Linked DNA regions of Canis lupus familiaris. The protein of the gene in region 1 interacts with the protein of each later gene in a pairwise test. Links are inferred from orthologs where the notes say so. Each region holds a gene or a part of one and is shown on either strand. Other genes may lie near its edges.

The links.
Region 2: the proteins of RELA (region 1) and NFKBIE interact in binary tests that used the Homo sapiens proteins (3 or more experiments, as listed by UniProt). The link is inferred for Canis lupus familiaris from reciprocal best matches to the Homo sapiens genes RELA and NFKBIE.

The regions. Positions count from the first base shown.
Region 1 is NC_049239.1:52,051,080-52,054,980, forward strand, and holds the start of RELA (transcription factor p65), read left to right. Parts: upstream 1-972; 5' UTR 973-987; coding exon 988-1,057; intron 1,058-1,288; coding exon 1,289-1,315; intron 1,316-1,398; coding exon 1,399-1,571; intron 1,572-1,711; coding exon 1,712-1,860; intron 1,861-2,484; coding exon 2,485-2,576; intron 2,577-3,141; coding exon 3,142-3,273; intron 3,274-3,901. UniProt on the Homo sapiens protein: NF-kappa-B is a pleiotropic transcription factor present in almost all cell types and is the endpoint of a series of signal transduction events that are initiated by a vast array of stimuli related to many biological processes such as inflammation, immunity, differentiation, cell growth, tumorigenesis and apoptosis.
Region 2 is NC_049233.1:12,864,798-12,868,698, reverse strand, and holds the start of NFKBIE (NF-kappa-B inhibitor epsilon), read left to right. Parts: upstream 1-1,551; 5' UTR 1,552-1,682; coding exon 1,683-2,050; exon of another isoform or gene 2,051-2,339; intron 2,340-3,901. UniProt on the Homo sapiens protein: Sequesters NF-kappa-B transcription factor complexes in the cytoplasm, thereby inhibiting their activity. Sequestered complexes include NFKB1-RELA (p50-p65) and NFKB1-REL (p50-c-Rel) complexes.

The DNA.
Region 1 (3,901 bases):
GCCCCCACGGCGGTGGGTGGCTAATTAAAAAATGCTTATGCCGCGACCACCACCAAGAGGCACCTTTAGCGGTCAGAAGCCCCGTGGAGTTCGGTCACCTGGCCTTTGCGGGCGAATTAGGCCCGGGCCTTTCCCTGCGCAGGGCAGGCGGCCGCAGCCAGCAGTCCTGGCTGGGCTCCAGACCGGGCCCGGTGACATCACCAAACTCCTCCGATCAGCGGGAGGGGGCCCCCGAAATCCCCTAAAAACATTGTGAGTAATCACCGGGCCCGCCCTCCAGACGGAGCCCAGACCGGGGAGGGAGCCCAGCAGCCCTGCCAGCCCCGGAGCGGCGTCGGGACGAGCAGCCTCTTAGTCCCCGGAGCGGCGCAACCTGTCCCCAGCCTCGGGCCGTGGCGTCCGGCGCGCGGCCTCTCCGTCGTCGGCGCGGGGCACAGTTGCCCCCCGCCCCGCCCCGCCCCAGGGTGGCGGCGGCAGCGGCAGCGGCAGGGGCTGCGGCGGCCGCGGCGGCGGCGGAGGTGGCGCAGCGCGCAGGCGCGGCCGGATTCCCGGCAGTGACGCGGCGGCGGGCGCGCGCGGCGCATTTCCGCCTCTGGCGAATGGCTTGGCTGTAGCGCGCGCCGCGGGCCCAGCTGCGACCCCGGCCCCGCCCCCGGGACCCCAGCCATGGACGGTGAGGGCGCCCTCTGACCCCGCGGGGTGGGCGCGTCGGGGCCGCGGGGATGGCGACGGGAGCCCCCGCGCCGCCTTCCGCCCCTTCCTGCGCCGGCGGGTGCTGCGCAGGGAGCGGCCGGCCGGATGGTGGCGCGGGGCGGGGCGGGCTTTGAAGGGTCTGACTCAGTTTCCCCACTGGGTGGCGGGGTCTTGACTCCGTAATCTCCGGGGTGGCGGGGAGCTTCGGCCCAGCTTCACTCCGGGGCCCTGGGCGCAGGTCTGACTTCGTTTCCTCGTTAGGGGAAAGTGTATCCGACTCCGTTTGCTCTCAGGATGAGGCGTGGGGGTGCCCTCCGTAGTTTTCCTTTTGGAAGTAGAACAGCCTCTGACTCCGTTTCCCTCAGTAAGGAGAAGGCGCTCTGGCCAGTTTTCCCTCGGGAAACAGCTGTTTCTGCCTTCTTCACCCCTTCCCCTTAGTTTCACCGCAGGTTCCAGGGAGCGGGCCCTGCCCCAGTGCCCTTGGCGGGGAGGGAGCCTGGCGCTCTGTCCTCTCCGTGAGGAAGCAGGCGCTCCCCGGTAAGGACGGAAAGGGGGAAAGGGGGCTTGTGCTGATCCTTGTCTCCCTCCCTTTCAGACCTGTTTCCCCTCATCTTCCCAGCTGGTAAGTGGACCGCCTTCCCTCTCGGTGATTGGGGGAGGAGTGCCCTGGGGTTAGGGGCGAGGAGGGCAGCCGCCTGATTGGAGCTGGTCCGGGTCTGGCCACAGAGCCCGCCCAGGCCTCTGGCCCCTATGTGGAGATCATCGAGCAACCCAAGCAGCGGGGCATGCGCTTCCGCTACAAGTGCGAGGGCCGCTCAGCGGGCAGCATCCCGGGCGAGAGGAGCACAGACACCACCAAGACCCACCCCACCATCAAGGTCAGCATGACTGTTAGTGGTGGTGTGGGGGGCACAGGGTGGGTTTGCCGCCTCCAGGTGGGGGGTGGGGCTGGGTGCAGTGTCTGGGAGTTAGGTTTGGACTTCCCGGAGTCTCTAGAAGTTCTCTGTACTTTGAACAGATCAATGGCTACACGGGGCCAGGGACAGTTCGCATCTCCCTGGTCACCAAGGACCCCCCTCACCGGCCTCATCCCCATGAGCTTGTGGGGAAAGACTGCCGGGATGGCTTCTATGAGGCTGAGCTCTGCCCCGACCGCTGCATCCACAGGTGAACTCCTGACCAGCCGGGTATGGGGGGTGAGGTGAGGAGACGGGAGGCTGGGTGGGTGTGTAGCTGTTATAGTGTTACTCCATTCTGGACACTGGGAAGAATTCTTCACTTCTAGCTTTGCAAGCAGATTCTCTTTGCCTTGAAATCATCTGTGCATCTCAACTGTCAAGTAGATATGAGCTCCATGGGATAGGAATGGATCCCTAATAACCTCTGAACCCCCAAAGTAACTTCACTGATGAAAATAACATAGTTAGGTTGGAAGAATAGCCCACTGGTGGAGGGAAGGTCGGCAAGTTGGAGGTCAGGAAAAGCCTCTCTGTTAAGGCTTGAATAGTGAGGAGAGCAGAGAAGCATGGGAAAAAACATTTCAAGCAGAGTGAACAAATGCAAAGGTCTTGAAGTGGGGGTGAGTTTAGGGTGTTTGGGAAACAGAAAAGAAGCGGCTGTTACTGAGGGTAGGGAGCCCAGGCAGCAGGGCACAGATGCTTGTCAGCCAAGGTAAAGAGTGGGTTTCTTTACAGCACAATAGGAAGCACAGTGGTGATTTGGTGAATGGGGAGGGGAGGGAGGAACAGACTGGGCAGAGACAATGGGACTAATACATGGAGAGGGACTCAGCTTCCAGAACCTGGGGATCCAGTGTGTAAAGAAGCGGGACCTGGAGCAGGCCATCAGCCAGCGCATCCAGACCAACAACAACCCCTTCCAAGGTGAGGGCTGAGGGATCCCTGGGTGGCGCAGCGGTTTGGCGCCTGCCTTTGGCCCAGGGCGCGATCCTGGAGACCCGGGATCGAATCCCACGTCGGGCTCCCGGTGCATGGAGCCTGCTTCTCCCTCTGCCTATGTCTCTGCCTCTCTCTCTCTCTCTGCCTGACTATCATAAATTTAAAAAATAAAATAAAATAAAATAAAAAACAAGTTGAGGGCTGAGGGAGCAAAGGCTGAGACCTGTCCGAAGCACCCCCACCCTCTCTGGTTCTTCCAAGCCACCTCCCTTATTGGCCAAGACTCTTAGTACTGATGGAATTTTGCTGCCCATTCAGTACCCACTCCCATTTACCACTGGGGAAACTGGGAGCCAGTGAGGGGGCATAACACCCAGGGGCACAGGTGGGTCACACAGTTCAGTGATGGGTCTAGAATCTTCTCTCTCTCCTCCTTTAGGACTCCCACTGTTTGACACACCCTCAGACAATGCTCCCGGGTCCAGAGCTCCCTGCCCCCCTCATCCCCTGCCACGCCTCCCGGTCCCCTGACCGTCTATTCTTGTGGCAGTTCCCATAGAAGAACAGCGTGGGGACTATGACCTGAATGCGGTGCGGCTCTGCTTCCAGGTGACAGTGCGGGACCCGGCAGGCAGGCCCCTGCGCTTGTCACCTGTCCTCTCCCATCCCATCTTTGACAACCGTAAGTGACCAAGGAGCCATGGGAAGGGTAGAGGGAGGGACAAGCCTGTGAGGAGGAAGGGGTTGGTGGGGAATGGCCCACTAGAGGAGCTCTGGCTTCATGCAGGCATCTAGTGTATTTGTCACCTCTTCTGTGTCCAGCTCTGTGCTGGCTGTGGTGGGGGTTGGGGGGGGGGGCGGTTAATGAGACAAAGAAGACCTGGATCTGCCCTTAAGGTGTTAGCTTCAAGGCTGGCAGGAAGTCAGATAGAAGACAGGTACTTGGAATATGTGATGGGAGGATGGTGTGCCCGTAACTGTACTAACGACTCTGGGAAATGAACTCCTGGGAACAAGATGATGTTACAGAGTAGTACTTCAATGATGAAGCTCATAGGAAGTTCACAGATGGGGACGCCTGGGTGGCTTGGCAGTTGAGCGTCTGCCTTCAGCTCAGGGAATGATCCTGGAGTCCTGGGATCCTGGGATGGAGTCCCACATCAGGCTCCCTCTATGGAGCCTGCTTCTCTCTCTGCCTATGTCTCTGCCTCTCTATGTCTCTCATGAATAAATAAAATCTTAAAAAAAAAAAAAAAAAGTTCACAGATGAATTGGGCCCATGTTGATCAGTTGTAGTTTTAATCAAGTAA
Region 2 (3,901 bases), on another chromosome or scaffold:
CATTTTTAAGTGTGGGTAGGGTTAGGGGTTGTTGGTTACTACTGTTACTATGATACTCAGTTTTGCTTCCAGCAGAAAGACCAATGTCAGGCATATAGGAAACTCCCCATACATGTTTGTCAAATGAATGAATAGATGGATGAATAAATGAGGTTGCATAGAAGAAGGTAGTAGGAAAGCTGGTTAGTAGCTGTCTACACTCACTCCAGTTTTCTTCCTTTCCAGAGATGATTGGGGATGATTCTTCTAAGGTCATAGCTGCCCCTGGGTTGATGGCACTTGGAGTAGGGGATGAGTCATGGGGCATGGGGTTGGAGCTCACCATGGGGGAGGAGCTTGCCTATAACCTCCGTAGGCCCTTTAGGCCCAAGGAAAGGAGGGACAGGGAAAGAGGAAAGATGTGCTGGCATTGTGGCTGTGGCTGTGGTGAGGACCTCAGCAGAGCATGACCCAGGATGTCTGGGGCCTCCCCATCCTGGCCCCACCATGAGGAACTAAACTTCCCTGATCACTAGGGGTAACCAGATGTTGTAACCGCCTGGAACCAGTGTTTCATCCTCGTGAAGAATGACCACCCTGCTTTTTTTAGATAATAAAAACATGACCACTCTGCTTTTTTTTTTTTTTTTTTTTTAAGACAAGAGCTTGCCTGAGAAAACTCACTTTCAAAAAACAAAACCAAGGGACGCCTGGGTGGCCCAACGGTCGGGCACCTGTCTTGGGCTCAGGTCGTGATCCTGGGATCTGAGATGGAGTCCCGCATCAGTCTCCCTACGAGGAGCCTGCTTCTCTCTCTGCCTATGTCTCTGCCTCTCTCTCTCTCTCTCTTTCATGAATGAATAAATAAATCTTAAAAAAAAATCCTCACACCCAGTTCTATGTGATTTAGGAAGTTGACCCAGGAGACCCTCTATCCAGGACCCAAAGGGAGAACTGCCCGTTTACGGGTAATAGGTATCCCCTTTCCCTACCCAAACTCCTGGGCACGGATAGATGAGAAAACCACAGAAATTGAGAAAAATGGGTAGGCGATAGGAAGCAGAGCTTTGCCATCCCATCACCTACATGCTCTCCCTGCGTGGTATGCAGCCTGTGCAGACGATTAATAAATATTCCTTTAAAAACGAATGAATGAGTGAATGAATGGGAAAAAATGAATGAAGAAATGAAGAAGGGAAGGAAAGAAAGAAAATGCATGGACTTGAAGAAGGAAGAAGGGGGAAATATGAATGAATAGATGGATGGCGGGTGGTCGGACAAATGGATGGATGGATGAACGGGTAAATTAACGCACGAGTGACTCAGGACCGGGTAACCCCGGAGTGGAAGCCAACGCGGGGGGCGGGGCAAGGGGGATTCCGGGGGGCGGGGCCTCGGCCCGGAAGCGCCTGCCGGGGGCGGGGCCGGGGCGGGGCCGGGGCGGGGCGAGGGAGCGGGTCCGACTGGGCAGTGCGGCGGCCGGAGTAGCCGCTGCCGTGGAAGCCGCCGGCGCTGCGAGCCTCGCCCGCGCCGCCCGCCGACCCCTCGGGCCCCCGCAGTCCGGGCAGGAGGCCACCCCGGGCCGGGCGCCAGCTCTGCGAGGCGGACCTGCAACCCGGAAAGGCGGCGCGGCGGAGCCCGGAGCCCGGAGCCCGGAGCCGGATCCCGCTCGGCCCCAGCCCCCGCGGGCCAGCACCCCTGGCATGTCGGAGGCGCGGAAGGGGCCGGACGAGACAGACGAGAGCCAGTATGATTCGGGCATCGAGTCCCTGCGCTCTCTGCGCTCCCTGCCCGAGCCCACCCCGGCCCCAGCCTCCAGGCCCTCGGATGGCGGCGGCCCCCAGCCCTGGACCCATCCTCCGGGAACAGCCGAGGGGCCACGCGAGAAGGAGGACACGGACGCGGAGCGGACCGACTCCACCTACGGCTCCTCGTCGCTCACCGAGCCCCTGCCCTTGCTGGGGGGCCCGGAGGCCGAGGACCCGGCCCCGCGCTCGCCGCTCCCGGCCGCGGGGGCGCTGAGCCCTCAGCAGCTGGAAGCGCTCACCTACATCTCCGAGGATGGAGACACGTGAGTATGGGGTCTGTCGAGGCTGTGCGGGGACCCCTTCCGATCAGTGCTCAGCCCTGGCCTGCGGGATCCTCAGCAGGCCGGGGGCCCACTCTGTGCGGATCCCTCACGACACGGTCGCTGGAAGGGGCAGTCCCCACTCTCTCCTCCAAACTCCAGGCTTCACTCCCAGCCCGCTCTTGAGCTCTGGCCAGCCCCGGACCGGAGGCCCTGGCATCATCTCTCTGCCCTCCCTTTGGGAGCTGGGCACAGCTGACAGGGCCCTTACCAGACACCTGGAACCCCAGCCAGCAGCTTGGAAACCTCCCAGTAACCCGCCCCTTGGAAGGGAAAAGTCCCCTGACCAGTCCAGGTTTTTTTTGTTTTTTTTTTCTTGCTGGGGGAGAAGGCATCTTTGTTTGCTCAATATCTGGGATTCCCAGCCCCTGACCTCAGAATACCCTGTGTCAAGAAACAAAAGGTGCCAGTTACAGGTTGCCAGTGCAGGAGTGGGGGGGGGGGGGGGCGGTCAGGAAGCTTAGGATGAGGGTGCTGCCAGGGTGCAGAGCTGAGGCTAGCTGTGAGGAAGAGGGGGTGAGCCAGGCTGGGGCACTCTTGCCCCAGCAGACAGACAGACAGGCGGCTGGCTGCCCAGCTTACTTCCTTCTCTGCTCTGAAAGGGGAAGTGAGGGCTAGAGTCAGCTTTACCGACACCCTCCACCTCCTGAATCCCCCAAGTCCCCCTCACTGTCCTGTCTGATTCCCTTATTTTACCCTCCCTCTCTTGGGCCCAGATGAAGTTTGGTGGGGATTGGGCCTGGCGGCTGTGGGGGTGGGGGCGGGGACAGGCAATTTAAGTAAGAGAAGCACTTTGTGTAGAAGGGACTGGCCATTTGAAGATTTGCCCCTTAGGGAGAAGAAACAGTGTCAGGTGAGGAGGTGGCTGGGATTTGGGGGTGAGAAACAGAGTGGGGCGGGCTGGGGTCCCAGATCAGGGATCCTGGAACGAATAGGGGTGGGGAGAGTAGAGGAGGCTGGAGTTATCTGTCCTGACCTGCTTTTTGGAGATGGGAAGGTCCTAATCCTGGGTAGCCTTTGACAAAGATAGCCAGTGGACCCAGTGGGTGGGACAGGAATGACCCCAGGCCTTTTTGTAACCTGCCCAGATCACCAGCCCTCAGGCACAGAATCAAGATGGGGCGGGGGGGCGGGGGGGGGGGGCGCTCCATGTGGATACCTATGACTGACCTTTGGCCTAGGGATTGGAGACTTCTGACCCTGCTGTCCTTTGTCAGCCTCTCAGCTGCAGCCTTTACCTAGTTAGAGACAGGTGTGTTTAGAGGAGGCAGGGGGAGGTGGAGAAGAGGTGGCAGGACTTCCCAGGAGGTCCCAAGAGAGGAGGGGGCACTCTCTTCCCTCAGAGGTGTCTGGCCTTCTGGAAGTGGAAAGAGGAAGTGGGAGGAGGGGAGACAGGGAGAGAGGGAGGTGGCTGCAGGAATGTGACCTACAGAACAGGCCCTGGCCGAGGGGATTTCCAGAGCGGTTCCTCCGCCCTCCCTCCCTCCGCCACTCTCTCCTGGGCCTCTCCTGCCACCAAGCCTTACCCTCCTCTGGCCTGAGCAGCCCCCTCCAGGGCCCAGAGAGGCCTTTACCCAAACTACCCCTTCAGGGCAGTAAATGCCCCAAGGCAGCTGTCCTGGCCTCCACCTTCTAGCTCTGGCTTTCATTTTCCCCACCTGATGTGGGGAAACCCCAGGACTGGAACTTCCCCTCCCAGCTGCCCCCTCCCACCCTAGCAAGAGGTGAAGGCTCTTTGGCCCCCAACAGACACACATTTTCTGCACACCACAGACCTCCCCTTGGAAGCATATG